3 linked regions of the Macaca mulatta genome follow. The protein of the gene in region 3 interacts with the protein of the main gene of each other region in a biochemical or structural test. Links are inferred from orthologs where the notes say so. Each region holds a gene or a part of one and is shown on either strand. Other genes may lie near its edges. The genes, in order: LRP8, VLDLR and RELN.

Region 1 (7,708 bases), on a different chromosome or scaffold from region 3:
TCAAAAGTAGGTAAGTAGTTTTCATTTTCTCTGTTTCTAGAAGGCATTTCAGCTAGTGCCTTTGTAATTCCACTGGAGGAGAGGTAGACCATAGTATAGGTAGCAGGTCTGATACAATGTTCAGGCAGCCCAAAATAGTCTTCCTGCAGATGGAAATGGAGGAAAAGCACTGGGACTGGCTTCTGATACATTTTCTGCCCTCTTGGCATTATCTCTGAGCTTCCTTCCAGCTCTATAGTCCAGTGACTCTGTGATCTATGATTGGCTGTAGATACCTATGCACAGGGGGCAAAAGGCAAAAGATATGTAACTACACCTCAAAATGAGGCTGAAAAGCCTCTGCGAATGGGGGAAGGTGGATCTGGCTCCTCAGGTTTCATCTGTTTACTGCTGTCCAACAAATGAGCATTTCACAATTTGTTTCTTGTAAAGGGTTGCTCCCATAGCTGCCTCTTTCAAACTGCAGTTATAGCATATGCAAGAAACATGGATGTCTCCGAGAAAGCTGTGAATTTCATCATCATTTTGAGATCTCAGGCTGTATGTCCAGACCCCATTCATTATTTTTTTCTGTGAATGCCAGGATCTGACCGAAAGTTTAGAAACTATGCCTTATCCACTGTTATCATTTAATTCCTTGGAAAATTCAGTTTCTTTGGAAGAAGGTTACAGGAAAAGTCACTTGTTTTGAGTAAATTTCCATGTTTTTCACTGTCATCATTTTTCTTCAGTCAAAAATAATTTTACTCTCCGTTCTTAAAAGAATGGTAATGTGAGTAAGCTCCATAGGAGTTGGCCACCTGTTCTTAAAATTCTGTTTGTTATTGGTCATTCTAGGTCAACTGCATTTACCCTCTCAATGGAATATTTCAGGACTATCAACACATGCATGTCATGAGGAGATTGCTGGATTATGCAAAACACAGTGCCCAAGCTCCAGAATATAGTTATTTTCTTAGAGTTTAGGAGGCCAAGAGTGATGCAGAGGAAGGTCCTAGGTACAGGATGCTAGAACTCCAGAATGTCTGACTGAAAATTCAAAGGGTATCAAGCTGGTGAGACATCCAACCTTCATTGAGTTGGGGGCATCTGGCAGGTAGGGATGGGAAGGCATTTGGTTAAGTGTGTCAAGTTCCAGGTATGATGAGATTAGATGCATCTCCTCTGCTCCTACTTAAGTCAAACACTTCCATGTTGCACCTTGTCCCTGGTTGTCTACTGGGAGTAAGTGGCAGAACAACAGAGTTAAGAAACTCAAACTCTTTCTCTTTGGATGGGAAAGCCAGTGGGGACTGAATCCTTCTGGGACTATAGGATTATGTTTCCAATGGGAGACCCCACAAATAGAAAAGAGCACTTCTCCCTTCCTCCCGCAAGGCCAGGAAAAGCAAAGAAGGTGTCTATAATGAAGAGCATCTATACATATACCCAGAGTTTTTCCTTTTATTTACAAAGCAGTAAACCAAATTCCTGTGTGAATATAAATATCCAATATACTATAATATTGTGTATGCCATTTCCCCCCTCAAATATGACTTCAGTTTTGGCCAGTTGTTCTGACTTAAGCCAAAAATTAGTTTCATCTATATGAACATATGATGGTAAGTAACCTATTTATTACTTTAAAATGTTTCCCCACATAAAGGAAATGGTAGAGAGTAAGGGGAAAAGAGAAATAAGAGATGTAATAAAACCTATTCCACCATCTTTATTCTCAACCACAGCATGTCCCAGATGTTCAGAGCCTGGGCCAGTCTCTATAGTAAACTTGGGCTGTTCTGGAAATGTCTCCACTTAGCTCTGTAAGGATGGCACCCTTCAGGGTGCTTCAGAGGAAACTTACTGAATTCAACCCAAGTGTCCTGAAAGAAATTGAAGAAGTTACTCAAAGAGCTGAACTTTAAAACAAGGAGTAGCTGAGGGTGAGGCATATTCTATCTTGAGTTTCTGAGCACTCTGGTACCATGGAATATCTCTACACTGACCTTTGCCAAAGCCAAGAAAGCCCCAGTAGGAGTCACAGCAGCCATGTGTGAGCTGAAAGGCTTTTCCTGACTTCCTGGGGTCGCAGGAATGGCCAGAGGTGAAAAGATTGCCTTTTTTACTACATAATTGCACAAACCATGGTATCTGTTTTCTGAGCCAGATTTCCAAAGGCTTTTCTGAAAACTACAAGATATACCCCTTGTGGACTGTGTTAAAATAAATTTATCTTTATGTATTTGAACAGTAGCCATAGATGTGCCTCTTCTCTACAGATTTTTCTGTCACACACATACACATATAAACACACACATATACACACACAGAGTCTGCGTGGTGGGCCAAACATGCCAAAAATAAATACTCTCGCTTCTCTAAATTATTTATAGAACTCATCTGATTTTTAAAATATGTTAATAAATAATCTAAATGGGGGAGGGAGTTGAAGTTTTTTTTTTTTTTTTTTTTACTTATGTTGATGGATAGCCACAAAGCATAATCATCTTATTTACAAAAAACAAACCCCCCAAAACCTAAAAAAGTCCCCCCAGCAACCAAACATCTTCTGTAAATATATTTTTTAAATGATGAGTAAGGTACTGTGCCATTGGCCCCCATTTGGTTATGTGCATCATGTTAGTCAGCAGTAGCCATTCCACGAATTCCTCATGGGTAGTGCAACCAGTTAAAAAGTGTATAAAACATTATACATAGAAAAACTCTCACATCCTTTGGATGTTTGCAGTTCATCATAACTTTGTGGTTACCTTTCCGCAACATAAATTTAAAAAAAAAATCACACACACACATACACTCACACAGACCCATATATAGAAACCCATTCATCCAGTCATACACCATCCAGAGTGTAGTGGGTGGGACTGAATTCCATGAGGCACGAAGTGGGTGATCCCATCCTCAGGGTAGTCCATCATCTTCAAGGCTTAATGCCACTCGCTGGGGAGACAAACCAAAGAATTCATCGTTAGATCCATAAGAGTTACTATTTATTATTGACAAAGTACAGACTTATGTTACTTTAATAGGTATTAGCTCACATAATCTTCAAACTCTCCCAAGAGACAAGATTTATCCTATTTATTTTACAGATGAGAAAACAAACTCAATGAGCTTAAGTAGGGTTTGTTCTGGATCACATAGCAAGTGGCTGAACTAAAATTTGATCCCAGGTCTGTATGAATCCAAAGCTGTAGATTTTTTCATCATTCTGTTTTGTATCTTTGTAAAGAAGAGTTGCTCAGATCTAAATTTTCTCAATCCTCCCTTATAGGATTTTAGGTTTGGTCAATTTCAGTGGGTTAGCTTTGGCAAATGTTAAATTTCAGGCTATGGGGTTACTTGTCTCTAGCATGCTAATCACATTTAGGAAGGTAATATACTGCACCTTCCCAACAGATTAAACAGAATCGGGAGGCAATGCAGGTTAATTAAATTCCATCCCTCTCTCCCTCACCCCTACTTTCTAGTCATTAGGTAGATGCTAGACTCCTGTCTGCCAAAAATGGCTGACCATGAGATGGTGAGCCCACTAACCCCTGAGCCAGTCTATTCCATTGTGGACAACAGATTTAAATTCTTTTCTATATTAATGTGAAATTTGTTTGTTTATATCTTCTGACATTCCCTGATTCCATCTCTCAGACTCAGAGACAGTTCTACATAGGACAACCCTTGAAATTTATAGATGGTGTTTGAATTCCCTTCCCTTCATTCTGAGTGTTTTCTTCTCCAGGATAACATCTAACTTTCCCCATCTAGTCCTGATGTAATCTTGTTTGCCTCTTTTCCATTTCCCAGATACCCTCCTTTGGAAAGACCCTCCCCAGCTTCAGTATTTTTCTTATAGTTATGTGAATTCGGGCCCGCCAGTTTACTTCTCTGAGACTTAGTTTTATCATCTATCAAATGGGAATAGTAATAGGACCTACCTCACAGGGTTGTTGAGGAATCAAATGAGATAATGCATGGAGAGTGTTTAATGTAGTACCTAACAACACATAGGGCCCAGAGTATCCTAGGTCAACGTAACCAGCATAAAATAGAATCAGACTAGTATCTCCCATCTCTGGACATTCTACATATGATAAAAAGTAACTCTACTGCCTTTCAAGTCATCTTTGGGTTATCTGTAGTTTTTTAATGAATGCAATGGCCATCCTCCACTAGTGTAGATAATTGAGACTACCTTATTCTAGTCCAGCCACCCTCCCACTCTCTCCAAGACAGATCTCTAGGCCAAAGATAGGCCCCAGTAGTGATGGTACAGTTACCGGAGAAATCGACAGAGGAGAGACAGGTTGTTGAGAATATTGATTTCCAGAGCTTCAAGGCTATTTACCTCATGATATAAAGGAAAGAGCATGGGCTTTTGTGTATATACAGACTGGAGTTTGAATTCTGGTTCTGCCACTTCCTGGCTATGACCTTAGGCAAGTTATTCAATTTCTATGAGTCTCAGTTTCCTCATCTGCAAAATGGGGCTAATAATATTGGCTTGATAAGGTTATTTTGAAGATTAAATGAGATAATGTATGTAAAACACTGAGAACAGTGTCTGACACACAGTAGGTGCTCAATAAATGTTGATTTCCTCATTCTACTACTCTATTTCTCTGCAACTGGCAGAAGCTTATTACTCAGTCCTTAGACTCATCAGGAGTAACTCCCCCTGAGTCATTTCTTTCTCTGGAAATAATGTCATTTTACATGTGCAGAGTGCTTTGTAAGTCACAAAGTGCTCTCACATGTGCTATCTCACTTGTACTTTATAAACTCAGGAGGCAGGTAGAATGCGGGTTATTATTCTCATTTTACAAATAACAGTGAGCAGAAAGAAGTGACTGAGATCACAGGGCTGTGGAAGGATGGAACTGGGAATTTTCTTACTCCAAGTTCAGTGCTTCTTCCACTGTGCCCCCTCTGATCTTCAAAAATTGGTCAAGCAACTATTTTTTTTGGACTGGCCGAGGTTAAGGATCCTCAAGGCCGTCTGCTAACCCTCCTCATTTGCTCCATCTCATTTCCCATGTCTCCCCTTCATGAACAATTTGCCTCAGCAGCAATTCTGTCTGCTCTGCTCCAAACTTGATCGCTTTCTTCCACATGCCATTCATTGGTCTGTGACTAACCCATTTTTCTTCTTTGCTCCAACACCCAGCTTACAATTTGCAGCCTTCCCAAACCAGAAAGCCTTCTAGGATTGGCTGCGCCTGCCTTGGTTCATGCCCTCACTCACCAGCCCCTCAGACTTAGAGTGGCACTGCCCTACCTTGGACTTGACGACAGGCAGCTCGGAAAGAGGGTTCCTCGGGAGTTGGTGCAGCTGTGACCTTGGTTCCCCCGGCAAGACAAAAAGCTCCTTGAGGGCAGGGGCTGGGTCTTCCAGTTCTCTGGTCTCCCCAAGACAGGGCTCTGCCCACAGTGGGCGATCAAAGCTGCTGATTGCCTGACAGGGGGATGGCACTGTGGATGACCTCTGAGGTCACACTCAGCCCCCTGACTCTGCTGTATAACAGTGACACCTGTTGTGCCACTTCATGGTCCTCATTCCCCCAAAAAGCCATGCTGTGTTGTGCCTTTAAGCCTTTGCACATGCCTCTATCTGGAATGCCATTTCCCTCCTTCTCTCCTGGGAAAACTGCTATTAATCTTTCAAGGACATAGTCCATCTGTCACCTTCTCTGTGAGGCATTCCTTGCCTGATTCTCCAGACAGAATTCATAGCTCCCTTGTTGATGTTTCCATAGCATCTATTCAACAAATATTTGTTGGGAGTCAGCCATACTGTGCTAGACATCAGGAAAACAGATTAATCAGACAGTTCTGCCCTCAAGGATCTTAGGGTTTAGTGAGGAGACCACTGAGTAAAAGACAAGTGGACTACAGTGTGATAGGGGCTGTGAGGCAGAGAGGCCCGGAGGACTGTGGGAGAACAAAGCAAGCCAAGGATAGCTTTCTAGAAGAGGGGACTCCTGAGCTTCCACCACGGCACTCAGCACACAATTATACCACTGTATGTTAGTATCTCTAACTCCCTACCAACTTCTTGGGAGCAAGCACATTCCTTATTGACTTTTGAATACTTGATATCTAATGTGCTTGGCACATAACTGGCATACAGTATTGAAATGAATACATTTGAATTAAATGGCCACAGTTACCCTTCCAGGCCAAAGGTTCTGAAAATTTACTGAGCAGAAAGAGACATTTGGCTTTTTTACTGCCAGGAAAAGCCTCTAGGTACAAGGTGGTCCTGATACCTTTTTACCTTAACCACCTACCCCAGCATTTCTGTGTTCCCCAGGGCCTAGAACAGTGCCTGATACATGGTACGTTCTCGATAAATGTTTCAGGAAGGGAGGAAGGAGGAAGGGAAGGAGGGAGGAAAGGAAGGAAAGAAGGAAAGAAAAAAGACAGGGAGGGAGGGAAGGACAGAAGGAAGGAAGGGAGGGAGGGAAGGACAGAAGGAAGGAAGGGAGGGAAGAAAGGATGGGAAGGAAGAAAGGATGGGAGGAGAAGAAAGGATGGAAGGGAAGATGGTCAGAAGGTAGGAATTCTCCCAGTGAGAAATACTTACTGCAGGATAGACATGGCCAATCTGAGCAGTCCTCCCTATATGGAGCTCATCTTCATCTTCTTCTTCTGTTGTTTTCCTGTAGACTGGGTTGTCAAAATTCATGCTTTTGGTGTTCTTCCGCTTCCAGTTTCTCCAGATCAGGTATCCACTCATGCACAGCAGGGCTATCACCACTGGAGGAAGGACACAGGAGATTGGACCTCCAGCAGGCTCCAGCCCACTGCTCAGACATCAGTGCAAGGCTTGTCACCACTCCACCTTTCCTGCCCCTTGCTCCTCAGGCTCTGTTTCTGCATGTTCTTTTTCTGCTGTTTGAAAGCCCATCTCTCATCCCTTCTTTCCCTTATTAACTATTCATCCTTAAAGATCCTGCTCAAATGTGAAGTCTTCCCCAACTGTGGGCAGAGGCAGTTGCTCTCTCATGTGTGCTCCCAGATCACACACAGTATCTTACTTTATGTATCTGTACTCCCAACTAGATAGCTCTTTCAAGGCAGGGACTGTGTCTTTTTTTTTTTTTTTTTTTTTTTAACTCTTTATGCCCAGTTCCTAGCACTGAGTAGGTGCCTAGTAACGTGCTGAATGAATGAGTGAATTTTACCACACCTTTGCCCTAATGCTGCTGCTTCCCTACATTTCTCTAAGAAAACCATTCTCTCCCAAAACTGGGGGGTGGAGAGTGGGATGGGGCCAGGTACAGTGTTTATTTCCAAAGGTGAGGCTCCACCTGAAGAAGAACATCTCTAGAAGGAGACACAGAGGGCAACATAAGCTGTGATTTAGAATAAATGAATATGTTAATGATTAAAGGAGGAAGCTCTGTCCAACAGAGCTGGGTAAAAATGGAGCAAGTAGCTCGTAAGGTGGTTAGCAGTCACTCAGTATCCCAATGGAGGCTGAATGATCACCTATCTAGGATGGTATAGAAGGGGTTTCCGTTTTAGTAAGATTACAATAATTGATATGCACTAAAGACAGAAACAAGGCAGTTACCACTGGTAATATTTATTGTCCTAGAGATCTAGCTATGCAGTAAGGCCAGAAAAACATTTAAGAGTATAAATATGGGAAAGGAGGCCAGGTACAGTGGCTCACACCTGTAATCCCAACACTTTGGGAGGCTGAGGC
Region 2 (7,708 bases), on a different chromosome or scaffold from region 3:
TTAGTAACCACATCCAAAGCTGAAGTAGAATGTGGACAAGAATATTTACAAAAGTAATATAAAAACGGTCAAGTACACAAGCTTGATCCACACAAAGGTATCTTGATGTTCTTCCAGCCGAGAGGAAGAAAGAGACTTCAGCTGCTGGCTCGGTTACTGTTCCGACGGGGGTATTATTTGTTTAGACCTCAAAGGTCAAGACTTGTCACAGAAGTCAAGCTAGATCATCATCTGTGCTTACAACTGATATCTGTGGAAAAGAAGAAGTATGGAATGAGCTTGGTGATCACTCACTGATGGCAACTCTCGTCTTTAAAATGGACCCTGCTTTTTAGTTGGTCATTCGAACACAGAGTGCTCAGAAGAAAAGTCAGATACAAAAGAGTACTGAATTGTATCATTCATGCATTTAATTTGAATTCAACTATACCTGCTTGGTAGTGAGATAAGATAGTGTGACTGATTCTGCCTCTTCTACTTAATGATCATAAGTCTTGGAGAAAAATGTGAAAAGCCATCTGTGTCAAGAATTGACCACTGTTCCATGTTTCACCAGAGCTTGAGAGGGGAGCAATCAATACTTGGTTTTTTCAGCCTGTTTCCTACGTGAAGGCCAAATACTCCACTTGGGTTTCATCTGAAGAACAAGTGAATGACTACTGCTAGAAGAAAAGCTAGCTATACTAAGTGTGCTAAGTGTGGTGGGATACTTTTTAAAGCAAAGTGTATCATAATTTTGGCTAAGTGAATCTTACTCAATACACTGACTTTAAGCCAACTCCCCTATATAGGATATGCTAATTTACTTTCAAATATCCAGTAGGCAATGGATTTAATAGTTCAGTAAAGAGCTACTTGGTTCATGCTAATATTTACATGTCATTTCTATAACCAAAAATATCTTAATATAGTGGTGACCTTAAGTTGACCCTCTTGCCATTTGGTGAGGGTTAGATGCTGATCAACTGACTGACTTATGTTCTAATAGGCTACACTGTCTAATGTCCAGGTGGCAGATGAAGTATTTGGTAACTCCATCATTCTAATGGCTCTCTTTCTAGCCTAGGTCTCCTTTCTGAAAAGTCTCACTTCAAGCCATGGTATATAAAGACACAAAGCTGACTTACTGCTGGGTATGTGTGTCCAACAGAAGCACTGTGTCTACCGATGTCTATGGAGAGGTCCTCTTCAGTGGTTTTCAAGTACACAGGATTGTCAAAGTTCATACTTTTCATGTTCTTGTGTTGCCAATTCCGCCACATCAAGTAGCCACCTACTGCTGCCATCACTAAGAGCACTGAAAAAAATCAGAGGGTAGCTAAGTGAGTTAAGTCTAATATTGGAACATACAAGAAAGGTAATAATGTTCAGGAATCCATAATAATTGACATTAGTAAAAATGTTATGTTTTATGGAGCTAGGATAACTAGAAGTTGGAATAAACATGGGCCAGGAGCTTGAAACAAGTTCAGTCCAGAGGTAGTTCTATGCACTGGAGCTGGGCTAGCCACATCCATCCAGGCAAGGGCAGGGTCCTCGGTCCCACTTTAGGCTCACCAAATTAAAATTGCAGAAGGTTCTGGAGAGCTATTCAGGTGTTCCTGGTGTGTTAGCTAAGCTTGGAATCTATTAATTTAGGACAAAGGCTTTTATAGCCAAGTCCTTGTAATTCGCATGTCTCATAATAGTTTGAGGTCCTTTTTCCATAGGTTTGAAAATTCTTAACTGCTTTTAATTTACCCTCAACAAGTCCTGTAACTCTTCAAGAAAGCATTTAAGCATTTGTGCATCTCCTCTGTATAAAACATTACACGCATTTCAAAGGGGGAACAGAAGAGCAGTTAAAGAGACTTATAAGGGGACAAGCCAGGCTAACAGTGCTGAAGTGGAAAGCATTAACTGTTGAACATTTATCATGCCAGTTACTGTGCCAACGGCACAAATGAAGAGAAAGATATGGGCCTTAATTTAGTGTACTATGTGGGGGAGAAAGTGAATATAATTCAGTGTCATAAGTGCTATGACAGCATAAAAGGGTAGCTCCAGATGAACAAAAAATATTCGTCTGGTATCTAAGTAGTTCTTGAACCCAGACTTGTAGGAAATCTACTTACAGAGAGGAAGAATGGCCCAAGCGGCAGAAGTCCCTTTTGGGGGAACACTGACCTCTGATACTGCTGTGGTCACATTGATCCCTACAGAGGAATAAAAGGAATCCGTTTAGAAGGGTCTGTATTAAGATTTAGAGATTTACCCATCAGGTAAGGAGCCAAAACCTTTGCATCCAACATTGATGTTCACTATCTACTACAATTGAACACCAGGAACAACTCTGGCCTAGAAGTATTTGAGTCACATGCTGTAGTAGCCATTTCACTGACAGTTCTCTACTAGAAACCTTAAAGATCAGTCAGGAAAAGATATGCAAATTTTAAGTCTTTGGTGTTTAAATATAGGTTACCAATTGGGGCAGAAATAGTAGTTAAAGGTTGCATTAATTATTTAAGCTATAGATACAAAGAGTGTGGCTGTTAGTGGAGATTAACAGTTTGCAGTACTGAACTCGATACCTCCAGGAACTAGTCCACTAGTTGGTGAAATTTCTGTTGTGTTCGTATCTTTTGTCTCACTGTAAGTCACAGTAGTTGCAGTACCTGAATTATAAAAACCAAGAACCTGGTTAATGCCAAGGTTCCAGAATGGCTAGCTCTTTTGTCCAGACAAGCCATGCAAAAGGTTATTTTAAAACCAGGTAAAAGAGACAAACCACTGCTGAACTAAGTTGTACAGCTGATGTGTCAAAATTGAAATAGCAATCTTCATGCAAAAAGAGATACCATGAAACTTTGGGAAGAACAGTCGGTATTTGGAATTTGACAATTCAAAATGATGGACAACCATATTTTATCCCTCTAAACAATATCCCATGTTCCTGGAAATTACAAGAAATGTTTTCAAGATGCTCTGGTATAGCAGGCATACCAGACTGTCTTGCAACTAATTTCTTGGTAAACTGAGCTAATCCCTGCCGTGACCTGACCATGAATCATGCTAGTAAAAACCTCACCAGCCTCACCATATGAGCTCCTTGGCCACACAAAGGAGTTTAATTTGCCACTTAATCAAAAGCTAAGAACAGAAGACTAAATGCAAATTCAGCTTAAGTGTTATTTTAGGTAAGCGTCACCCACGAGGCAATGAGGTTTTTGTAACCATGGCCTTCCTTAAGCATAGTTTCTGTCCTCCTCCTTTTGAGGAAAAATGTTAAGGCCTCGTTTAATTACCTGCAAGTCGGCTAGCTCCGTGCTGTTAAGGGACTAACTGGTACAAATTAGTATAAGGTATGTTGACACTATAGTCTCCTATAAACTCATTTAATGTTGACATGGGTTAAAGTCAGTTCTAAAGAAATGACATGATAACCCGGCATACAACAATAGCAGATATCTTCTCAAATCTATTCAAAGAATTAGCTAAAACAGAATTCTTAAAAATCCAAGCTTGTGTCTTATATTGCTTGTTGTATGTTCTACTTGTAGTTGAAACACAAAATGCCTTACTTTGGCAGTCTCGGCCATTTTCCTCTAGATTGAACCCATTGGGACAGGAACAGGTATATTTTGGAGAGTGATCATTAATCTGTGGTGCTGGCAGGCATAGGTATTCACATCCTCCATTCTCCATGTCTTCTTCACACCAATTTTTACCTAGTCAGGAAAAAATACCATTAAAATGGGTATTCCAATGCCTAGTATATATAAAGCCTTGTTCTACGTGTTGAAGACCTGAGTCCTTGCCCCCAAGAGCTTAGACTTGTTGACTCTGGCAATCCTTCAAGTGAGAGCAATATCAAGGAAGAATAAGTATAAAGGTACAGGCAGCATGCTCTAAGGACACCAAATAAGAGACCTCTTAGAGACAGACTGTAAAAGTTATGTCTTTAAGAGACAGATTTCAAAAGAGAAGGTGGGGAAGGGAGGTGAGGGACCAGGACTGGCTCTCACTATTGGCCCAAGGTTTAGTGTGAAGGCTCAGAGAAAGGAGACTAGGCATGTTCTCCTGGTTTTCTCTTTACTTGCTCCAACAAAGTGGAAGGAAACTCAGCCTTAGGAAGGTTTGAAGGTTTTATTTAGATAGAACCAGCCAAGTGTTTTCAGCAGGACATAATATAACCTGATGTGTTTGAGACTCTACACAATCCTATATCAGGTGTGTCACAGGGAAAAAGTAGGTGTTACAAGTTGAATTGTGTTCCTTCCTAAAATTCATATATTGAAGTCCTAGTACCTCAGAATGTGATCTGATTTGGAGATATTGAAGATAGGATATTTACAGAGGTAATCAAGTTAAAATGAGGTCATTAAGCTGGGCTCTAATTCAATATGACTGGTATTACAGTTCACGCCTTTAATTCTAGCTCTTTGGGAGGCCAAGGCAGGCAGATTACATGGGGTCAGGAGTTTGAGACCAGTCTGGCCAACATAGTGAACATAGTGAAACCCCATCTCTACTAAAAATACAAAATGTAGCTGAGCATGGTGGCTCACTCCTGTAGTCCCAGCAACTCGGGAGGCTGAAGCAAGAGAATTGCTTGAACACAGGAGGTGGAGGTTGCAGTGAGCTGAGATTGTGCCACTGCACTCCAGCCTGGGCGACAGAGCGAGACTCCGTCTCAAAAAAAAAAAAAAAAAAAACCTGGACAAAAGCATATACAGAGGGAAGATGATGTGAAGAGACACAGGCGGAAGCACTGTCAACAGACCACGAAAAGAGGCCCTGAACAGATCCTTCCCTCACAGCCCTCAAGAGGCACCAACCCTGCTGGCACCTTGATTTCAGACTTCTGGCCTCCAGAATTTTGAGACAATAAACTTCCGTGGTTTAAGGCAGTTTGTGGCACTTCATTGCAAAAATCCTAGCAAACTAACAGTAGAGGAAGTTTGTAGCACAAAAGCTACTTTGGAGGCTACTGCAATAGTCTTGGCAAGAGGGGCTGAAGGCCAAGGGGACATGGATGAAGCAGAAATAAAAGATCTGACACTGAGGCTTGGGAGGGAAGCTAGGAGCTGAAGCTGAGAAGCCATTTCTCTAAGGCAGCAGAAATAAAAAAATAACGTGTGAACTGTTTGAGGTAGGGTACGGGAGGGCAAACGTTCCTTTTAAAGAAAGGGGAGTTGCCAAGAGCCACTGACATCCAGTAGGTTCTGTGTCATGCTGCTTCCCTTAAAGTGGTTATTAAGGAGTGTGCTTCTCCACGGTACCTGATGGCTGTACAAGTTCATGATAGACAATGATGTCTTGGGCATCATTAAGGTTGTTGACTAGAGTGGCTAGCTCTGATCCAGTGAATTTATTGGCACCATAGACTGCTTCGTTTTCCCCATCTATCCAGTAGACACGATCCTACAACAGAACCCCACAATTAGCATGTACATCCAGGATTAACACAAGTCCATTTCTAAGGTCATCATTTACTTCTCATTTAATGGACTAAGTTTATTGAATGCTGAGCTGGGACACTAGATATAAAACTGTAAAAGAATCAAGTTTAGGTTTGAAGTGCTTCTGGGAATTAGTGTCTAATTTGTACCAGGTTTTAAGTGAAAGCAGTTTCTCAAGCCATGCTCAGCTGCTCTTCCCTCCTCCCGCCATGTCTGTCATTTCTCCTCAAAGTGATATAATAGCTGAAAGGTATACACACTTTGATGTGAGACACATCTTACCTCAAATATTGTTAGTGCAAGAGGGTGAGCTAGGAACTCCAGAGACTTTAGTACTATCCTACGATCTTGGCCATTCAAGTCCACGCTGGATAACATGTGCAACTTAGAATCAAGCCAATAGAGGCGGCTTTTTATAAGGTCTAGGTAGGAAAAGAATTGTCATTACATGACAAGCCACTACTACTCTGGCTTCCATTTAAAACATCTAATGGATTAATATTCTACTTTTATGGTTCTTTCCCCAGCAGGGTTTCTTAACAGGGGTCACACAAACCTGGCAAAGCAGCATGCAGAATCTGTATCCACATTCATTTTTGGGGACTAACGGGGTACCTGAGATTCTCAAAGTAAATGACTTAAGAAATACTACTCACATTACAGAAAATATTAAAAGAGGCTGGCATTTTGTTGTTCTCCTCCACAAAGCCAGAAGAAAACTGTTAAAAGCCTGCAATTCAGGAAATGCTAAGGCATTCATGCCCAGAATATTTAGTATGAGTGCACCCAAGGCCCAACCTTCACTGAGTTCGTGCCACATATTAGGCCCAGCTGGACAACAGGTCAGTAGTTACGGAATGTGTAATTTGCTAATCCACCATTTTACTTGTGTTGTTCAGTTACTCCCATTGAAAATTCCTGCTAGAATTTAGGCGGAAGCAGAAGAGTCATCTGCTAGTCCAGAATTCACCATGGAGATAAATGGAAACACTATGAAGATAGTTGAGTGGGTGATCGAGAAGGAAGACCATACATACCAAGTGTAATTCCGTTAGGCCACTGGATATCCACTGTCACCAGTGGACGTCTATCAAATCCATTCATTCCTGCTTTTTCTATTTTAGCTGGTTCACCCCAGTCTGACCAGTAAACAAAACTGTGAAGAATTAAATGAGAAATAAGCCTCAGTGGTTTAGAAGGAATAAAGTTGTAGCCTGAAACTAAAATTTAAGCAGAAAAGGGATTCTCTAGTGACAAATAGTAACACTTAAGGGTCTAAATTTTGTTCTAGGTAAATAAATTTGAATATTAAGAATCTGCAAGTTCATTATTAACTGTAATAATCTATGTTTGTCTGACATCTAAATTTCGGCCCAAAGTCACAAGGTTATGTTTCCTTTTTAAAAGGTTACTTCTTTCAGAGGAGTGAAAGACAAATATCCTTTAAATTTCATAGCAGGGGTTGGCTGATTGACTTCTAATGAGGCTGCAGGGGGAGCAGTTGTGATGACTACAGCCTTAGTCAATTTCCTAAGCTGCTCTTCTATGTTACTTAGTGGTAATTTAGGGAACCCCCTTAGTGAAATGTTTCTATAAAGGTCTGTTTATTTCTGCTGGACTTTCAGACAACTTGCACACTTAGATGCAATGTCGTTACCCAAATCCCCACAATTCAGACTGTCATTTAGGTTTGATCATCCAGAGCTAGCCCAGCAAAGTGTTCAGTCAAAAACTAAAAAATCACTTGCATGGAAACTGGGTGGGCAAAAGGGTTCAGATACAGCTTTTGGTACACACATCAAATCAGGAATGTTAATTCATTAATATCAACCAGCAATCACTCATACGAGTCAGACAGGAGGACCTGTCATACAGATAAGGCCGTCCTAGGGTCATTCAACTGGGGCAAAACTGATATCTTGAATTAGAATTCTAATTCTTTGTTGTAGAGGGCTGATAAACCTTGAGATTTTAGTACTAATTCAGGTATGAGAAAGCTCCTGACCTACACACATACCATTCAAAAAGCTATGTGATAGAAAACGGTGTACAAACCCAGACAGTGGGTCCACAGCTATGGAGGCAGGCTCTCGCAAATCAGAGTTAAACAGGAACTTCCTCTTGGTTCCATCTAGGGTAGCTACTGAAATAGTCTTAGAAGCCGCATCAGTCCAGTAGATGGTCTTGTACACCCAATCAACAGCAATGGCTGCAGGATTATAGACATTGTCGATCATTTTAACATGTCTACCAACCTTGTCATCAAT
Region 3 (7,708 bases):
TATGTGCCAAGTGCTCCCGCTGGAAGATGGGAACTAATAGGTAACTTTCTCAGGGTTCCAAGGAGTCTTAGGAACTTACTACTCCTTTGCTCACTCTGATAGCCCCAGGGGCTCTCATTCAGGTGGACACACCACCACCCCTCAGTGGGTCAAGTTAAATAAGGCATAACTAAGACAAGGCCTGATGCTCAGGCTGTAAGCATTCATGCAGAGAAGTCAATGAACAAGGAAAGAGACCACATTAGCTTTCATAATTTTTTCTGCTAATTTAACTACTTCTGGTTGCCTAGGATTGACAACTCGAAAGGTTCTTTTCTTCATGGGTACATAGGATTGCAGTGACAGCCAGTAAAACAGAATTTCACTATGCAAATAGCCTAAGGTCCAAACAGGTCTTTTAGTTTTTCAGCTGCAACTTCTGAATGACGTGACTCTTAACAGATGCATGGCTGTGTGATAATAAGTGGACACTATCAACTGATTTCTCATCAACTAACAAATGCCAAATGTAATTTTAGCTAAAAGAGAACATTTTTCCTCTTCTTCATCATATATATTATAGATCACATTGCTCAATAGCTGAAAAAAAAATGTAAGTAGAGCAAATTCCACAATAGCAACCATATGTTGAGTGCCTATACATGCTGGGTGCTAAGATAGACACTTTACTCATTTAAAGCACCTAGCACTACTAAGAGAAAAATGTTATTCTCATGTTGCAGATAAGGAAACTAAAACTCAGGGAGGGAAAGTAACTTCCTCAAGATTACATAGTTTGTAAGTGGTGATGGTAGGATTTGAACCCAGATATGTCATATTCTAAAATGTTTATCCTTTATAAGATACCAGTGTTTTGTTTATTAAACTATCTTTTGGTTTGGGGAGAAAAATATCCAGATAATGCCAAAGGTAGAATTTGAAAATTATTTGATGTTGTAATAAAAACGCAAGTGCATTTAACCTATCTCATAACTTCACAAAGCACAGATTCATACTTCCACAACAGGTTGCCATGTAAAAGCCTCATATTTCTAGTCTTTGTTTTTTCTTTTATGCCTAGTAATTCACTGCTCTGCTCAGTCCATGATCCCTAACCCATGCGTCTTCTTCATTTCTTCATGTCTTAATGTCTTTACCCTCTTCCTTATACACTTGCATAAAGCCTTGGATTTTGTTTTTTTTTAAGAGACAGAGTCTTGCTCTGTTTCCCAGTGGCTATTTATAAATGTTATCATAGCTCACTAGAGACTCGAACTCCTGGCCTCAAATGATCCTCCCACCTCAGCCCCCACTGTAGCTGGGACTAGAGATGTGCACCACTGTGCCTGGCTAAGTGTTGGATTCTTTTAGAGCTCAATGCTATGTGGAAGTTGAGGTTCAGAGGAAAGGTCCCTTCTTCAGATTGTAATGAAAAAGCTTTGAGGTAGATAGTTGACAGATTCAGGGAATAAATATCCCTTGCTAACATCAAAATATAGAAATAGGATTACTCTTTCCCCTTGATTATGGAATGCAAGTATAAAATTGTTCCCATGCGTCAATACAAGACACTCATAAAGGGACCTATTTTACTCTGTATTTTGTAGGAGCAATTTTATTGAAAGTGGGCATGATTTGTAAACTGAAAGTATCTTTCTTTTATATTTGCAATATTTGTTTATAGGTTAGCATTTTGTATTGATATTTATACAGCAGAACTGTCAAACTCTGCTGCCACATACATTCTAGTTCACACAGATGTGTTTTCTCATCCTTTTTCAGGTTCAGTGATCCATTTGTGCTAAATGTGAGAAATTCTTTCGTAACAAACAAGCTATTTTAATAGTAGATAGTATTCCTGAATCTGTAAACATTAAAAAGAGACTATCATATCCTTTTTCGCGAAAGAATGACTTTCTAGGTCACACTGCAATCTACTGAATGGCCCATGCTGCGTCCTCTCTACATCTTGCAGAGCTGATAGATAATACGTCTAACACATACAATGCTTGGCTGCTCTTGCATTTGGATGGCTAAAGGGAAAATACAAAACACCATGCATCTTCCTTGTTTAGAGGATCAAAAGACTAGGTTAATTCTACCACTTAAAGATTTATCAGATAAAGATCTGTCAATCACAAAAAGTTATAGGACTTCTGCTTTTTAGTCTTGTCAACTGATTCAAATGGGTCAGATGTGAGCTAGTGGTAACGAGAACTAATATCTTAGTTAAGACAAAACAAAACAAATCCTGCTGCTCCCAAAACCAGGAGTCTCCACTCTGAAATGTTCTACCTCAATTTCTTCAGTCCCTCAAAACTCTCAGGGACTTGTAAATCTTTCTCAGGCACTATGCATTGCTTTCTTTCTCATCCAAAACTTGAGAAGAATTTGGATTCAAGCAAGGATGATAACTGGCATCTATTAACTATAATTGAAAAGGTTCCAGGGTATCTAATTTTCTAGGTGTTAGATGTTAATCATTAGGGTTGTACAGAAACCCATGCAGGTTTTTGTCAAAGACTTCATTTGCACACCTAGGTTAGCCAATTTCCCCATGCTGAGAGAGATGGGTGTGGCATGTATTCACATATGAAGATGTGCCAGCTTAGCACAGAGTGTCACATAATTGCTTAACATCTCTCTAACCGAACATCTAGGCTGAAATACAAGATGATGTTTGAAAATGCTATTTTATTTGACTTAAATATTTGGTTTTCTTTTCTTTTTTTTTTTTTTTTTTTGAGACGGAGTCTCACTCTGTCACCCAGGCTAGAGTGCAGTGGTGTGACGTTGGCTCACTGTAACCTCCACCTCCCGGGTTCACGCCATTCTCCTGCCTCAGCCTCCCGAGTAGTTGGGACTACAAGTGCCTGTCACCACGCCCGGCAAATTTTTTGTATTTTTAGTGGAGACGGGGTTTCACCATGTTAGCCAGGATGGTCTCCATCTCCTGACCTCGTGATCTGCCCGCCTTGGCCTCCCAAAGTGCTGGGATTACAGGCGTGAGCCACCGCGCCCGGCCAAATATTTGGTTTTCTTAAAGTCACCAAATGGTTCTATGGGCAGAAGAAAAGAGAAAAGAAAAACTACAGACTGTTCATAAAGTCATTCAGAAAATATTCCAAGTTAAATATTTAGTAACATTAAATCTTAGATTATGGAAATTTACATTCTAAAAACTATATACATATAAATTTATGTATATAATTCCAGCAGGAAGTAAGGAAGGTCTGATCACCAAAGCAGAGGAAGAAGTTTATGCCCAAGTGATCATGAAAAAGTGACTGCACTCAGAAGAGGAAACAGGGTTTGGGCTAAAAGTCAATAACTATGCATTAAATATTATGTCATTTGAAGAGATTCAGAAATGCATTTGTGTTGAGCAGTGACTGAAGACGACAATGTTAGTAGTAATGTTGGGAAGGAGAATCTTATCTGTATCTGACCCCTTTAAAAATTAGAGATGTTCCAGATTTGATGGTTTCACCATTCAGATTCCCCCTCTCTGCACCATACACTTCAGGCCAAAGGTCAGGATGCAAGTTCCCATTGAAATCGTCTTTAAGAATCGAGGGCAGAGGAACAACAGGAACACAATAGGGTCCACCAAAGCCCCGGTCACACCTAAGAAAGAGAGGGAGTGGAGAAAAGACATTTGTCACGAGTTCAAAGAGCCATATTTATTTTTGCGTTAGAAAAGAAAGAAACTGCCAGTTTTATTAACTTACACACAGTGTCCAGCATCACAAATCCCTCGTCCTGAGCACATCCAAGGGCACCCTGAGGCCAGTACAACATTATCAATCGCCCAGGAATCAGCCCCCACAGTGTAGTTGGCCTGAATCCATCTGAACCGGGTCCTGGGAGAACTAACCAAAGAAAACACACCATTGGTTTGACGAGCAACCTTGAAAGCACAAGGACATTTATTTTAATTCCCTTTTCTCTTTAAAGTGCCCTCCTCCAGAGTCCAGTTGTCTCTTCCTTGACGCACTTTATCTTCCTACTAAGTAGTAGGAAATGCTGTTTTCTCTTGACTCATCAACAGGAGAGTAGAAAGCATGTTATTTATATATTTCACTTTTTTTTTCTCATGTAAGATTCTACAAACACATGTGTGAAATGGAAAAGTTATTTTGAAATATCCACTTGTTTTGTTTTTGAAATATATGCAGAATTTTAGTTTTTGCTTTCAGACTCTTATTGCTATTCAGTACTGGGAGGGACTGAAGGTGATAAACATGAGGAAAAGTTGGAGTCTTACAAAATTCTGGCAGTGAGGTCTCTATTTTACTGTCCCGGAATGGTTTCTGAGAGTAAATGGAAGCCCTTGATACTTCTGCACTCCACTTTGGTTCTCGAGGTCCTGGGTTTCTAAAGCTGAGGTCTAGAATGATGTGATGCATTCTCATATTTTCTATTTATTTGCAGTCTGTTATTTGGTGTATCTTGGGTCACAAGACTGCTTTATCCAGAAAGAGATGCAGACTTACCAAACAACAGTAACAGCCCCTGACTTAGGAAAAGTTTGCATAGGAGTGTGTTTGTCTATGATGTGGAATGTGGAACACAGTCTACTTGAAGTAGAATTTCAGCAGCACCATTCTAAGTAGTACTGTTTCCCCTACACAAACTCTCTGTGGATGTGACACAGCTGTCGGCATGGTGGCTTTAACATGGAAACCTCATCACAGCACCACTGTTTAACACCTGTCAGTGGTTCCCCTACACGTGCACTGTCAAGACCAAACTACTTATGACGACATACATGGTTCCTCCATTGTCTGCCCTCTTTCCTGGCTCCAGACCTCCTACTTCTCACCTTGCAATTATATTCTGGCAACACTGAACCCTTGAATTTTCCCATCCACTCATGCTTTTTCTGGCTTCCTGGATTTTGTTTTGGCTTACGCCAGCACAAGTGCCCTCTCGCTCCCCTCTTCTCCTGGATAAGCCCTACTCAGAGGCAGCTGAGACATCAACTCCTTTAGAAAGCTCCCTCCAGTTCTCCCCCAATGAGTTAGGTAGTATGCTCCTGTGTTTCGATAATATCTCTGAGTACTTCCTCTGGTATCATCTCATAGCATAAATAGCTGCTTAGAGGTTTGTTATCCTAAATACAGTGATGTGCCGCGTAACGACGTTTCTGTCGATGATGGACTGCGTTTATGACAGTGGTCTCATAAGATTATAATGGAGCTGAAAAAAATTCTTATTGTCGATTGACATCTTGATGATTCTGACCTTGTGTATGCCAAGGCTAATAATGTGTGTTTTTGTGTCTTAGTTTTTAAGAAAGAAGTTTTAAAAGTTAAAGTTCTCAAAATATTAAAAGCTTATAGAATATAGAAAGAAAACATTTTTGTACAGATGTACAATGTGCTTGTGTTTTAAGCTAAGTATTATCACAAAAGAGTCTAAAAGTTTAAGAAAAGTTTATAAAATGAAAAAGTTATAGTAAGGTGAATTTATTATTGAAGAAAGAAAATATTCTTTTTTAAAATTTAGTGGAGCCTAAGTGCATAGTGTTTATGAAGTCTATAGTAGTGTACAGTAATATTCTAGGCCTTCACATTCACTCACCACTCACTCACTGACTCACCCAGAGCAACTTCCAGTCCTGTAAGCTCTGTTTATGGGAAATACCCTGTACAAGTGTACCAGTTTTTAATCTTTTATACCATATTTTTATTGTACGTTTCCTATGTTTAGAGATACAAACACTTGGAATTATGTTACAATTGCTTACAGTATTTAGTATAGTAAAATGCTGTACAGCTTTGTAGCTGAGGAGCAATAGGTTATATCATACAGCATAGGTGTGTAATGGGCTAAACCATGAAGGTTTATGTAAGTTCACTCTATGCTGTTCACACAACAATGGAATTGCCTAACAATGCATTTCTCAGATGTATCACCATCGTTAAGTGATGCATGACTTTAATATATTTGGATCCCGGCATCAGCTTATTCATTTAGTACCAGAGTGCTTAAAACACTGTAGATATTCAATAAGTGTTTGTTGAATTAAAAAAAATGAGTAAATGAGCTACAACTAAGCACTATTTAAAGCTTTAGCAGTCATAGGAAACTACTTTAGGCTAAATACTAAAATGTTTTGGCTTCCTGAATTTTCCCTTGCCACTTGGTTGTACATTTCTGGATCAGGTTTGCACCAGGAAAACAGAAACCACTATAAATACTTAACACAGAAAGAAATTAATGCAAGGAATTGGATGTATAGAAAGTGGCAGATCAGAGAAGCCAGTAGAAGCAGCGAGGAAACCAGAGTTTAGCAAAGTCAGGAGGCCACTTACTATGAGTCTAAGACTAGAGGGACACAGGGAGGAAGTGTTGCTGTTGGTGCCCAGGGACCAGGGTCACCTGGAGGGCCACCCAGGGGAGCCAGAGCCACAGAAGTTGGCCAAGATGCAGCTGAGGCAGAAAGAAGGTGGAGGAACACCCTGATCTATCCCTTATTTCTCCCCTCCTTTCTCCTGCCAGTGTCTGACAGCAGAGGTAGGAGGCTGGGAAACGCAACCTGCCATTCAGAACAGAGCACAGGAAGGGAGAGGAAAGGATCCTGGGGGGAGCAGTCCCCATAGTACCCGTTAGTTCCTAGAAACATCCTCCAATGATCCAAATGCCTGCGCCACAAAAGTGGGAGCCTGCTGTAAGTCAGTACAACTCTTGAATGTGATCTGAAATGCCGGGGAGGGGAAGACAGATGCAAAATAATATGAGCATTCCAAAGGAACCAACCTTTTGTTCATATTGTGGTACTGAGATGAAAAAAAAAAAACTAAGGGTACTCTCCAATATGTGGTAATTTCACATACTGCTTAGTGTGAATAAGTATCAGTCTGGTTTATGGGCAGAGACTTATTTTTACAACAGTTTAAAAATGGAATCTGGTGGGCAGCCTTTATGTTAGCAAAGAACAGAAAAGTTCAGCCTCGTAAAACTTTTGGTGCTCTCTAGCCACATTTAAAACTTGCAACCCAAAGCACCCTGCACTTTTTTTCTTCCTGGCACTTCCATGCATAATTATCATGAAAGAATAATAGAATTCCTAGGCCGAATCACAATTATTTTCAAATTAAGTGACAGGCACCCAACGTTCTGACATGTAGCCAAATGACAATTCTCACATGGTGGAGAGTGGAAGGTAGACAGTGATCCGCTTCCAATTCTGGAATCTTTCTGAGGTATAAATTGAACTTTCCGTGTAGTGCAGACAGCCAATGGTTGGAGGAACACACTCTTCGGTGACAAGATGCCAGTCCTTGCCATTGTTCAGAGAATACTGGAGCTGTACACTGTGGGAGCTGCTGAAGGGCTTGCTACAACCCATGCTCATTTCAAACTGCAGAAAGGTAGATGCTGACACATGAAAATCCCAGGTCTCAGCATAACGAGGTTTTCCTGAAAAAAAAAAAAAGTGTAATGATAGCATACATGTGTGCCATTTTCTTATTTGGTGTTTATGCTTATAATAAACATTTTCAATAGCAAACAAAAATCACGGCGTATCTTTAATGCCCCATATGTGCTTTGCCTTTTCTTCTTATGTTTTCTGTTTTTATTTGGTTACCACAGATTTGGAAATATGGAAGTCTGCTAATTTGAAAAGCATTACCACCTTGGAAAGGGCTAACATAGTATCTTTAAAATACTGATATATTACAGTTGTACATATTTTTGTGGTTACATGTGATATTTTGAT

What was found.
Region 1: the proteins of RELN (region 3) and LRP8 form a complex in vitro, tested with the Homo sapiens proteins (7 studies listed by BioGRID). The link is inferred for Macaca mulatta from reciprocal best matches to the Homo sapiens genes RELN and LRP8.
Region 2: the proteins of RELN (region 3) and VLDLR form a complex in vitro, tested with the Homo sapiens proteins (6 studies listed by BioGRID). The link is inferred for Macaca mulatta from reciprocal best matches to the Homo sapiens genes RELN and VLDLR.

What each region holds. Positions count from the first base shown.
Region 1 is NC_133406.1:187,356,881-187,364,588, reverse strand, and holds the end of LRP8 (low-density lipoprotein receptor-related protein 8), read right to left. Parts: intron 6,754-7,708; coding exon 6,581-6,753; intron 5,450-6,580; coding exon 5,273-5,449; intron 2,941-5,272; coding exon 2,902-2,940; 3' UTR 2,454-2,901; downstream 1-2,453. UniProt on the Homo sapiens protein: Cell surface receptor for Reelin (RELN) and apolipoprotein E (apoE)-containing ligands. LRP8 participates in transmitting the extracellular Reelin signal to intracellular signaling processes, by binding to DAB1 on its cytoplasmic tail.
Region 2 is NC_133420.1:96,803,340-96,811,047, forward strand, and holds part of VLDLR (very low-density lipoprotein receptor), read right to left. Parts: coding exon 7,497-7,708; intron 6,598-7,496; coding exon 6,479-6,597; intron 5,864-6,478; coding exon 5,724-5,863; intron 5,404-5,723; coding exon 5,262-5,403; intron 3,708-5,261; coding exon 3,561-3,707; intron 2,655-3,560; coding exon of another isoform or gene 2,571-2,654; intron 2,196-2,570; coding exon 2,115-2,195; intron 1,298-2,114; coding exon 1,128-1,297; intron 251-1,127; coding exon 215-250; 3' UTR 1-214. UniProt on the Homo sapiens protein: Multifunctional cell surface receptor that binds VLDL and transports it into cells by endocytosis and therefore plays an important role in energy metabolism.
Region 3 is NC_133408.1:143,156,725-143,164,432, forward strand, and holds part of RELN (reelin), read right to left. Parts: intron 7,408-7,708; coding exon 7,134-7,407; intron 3,852-7,133; coding exon 3,711-3,851; intron 3,607-3,710; coding exon 3,429-3,606; intron 1-3,428. UniProt on the Homo sapiens protein: Extracellular matrix serine protease secreted by pioneer neurons that plays a role in layering of neurons in the cerebral cortex and cerebellum by coordinating cell positioning during neurodevelopment.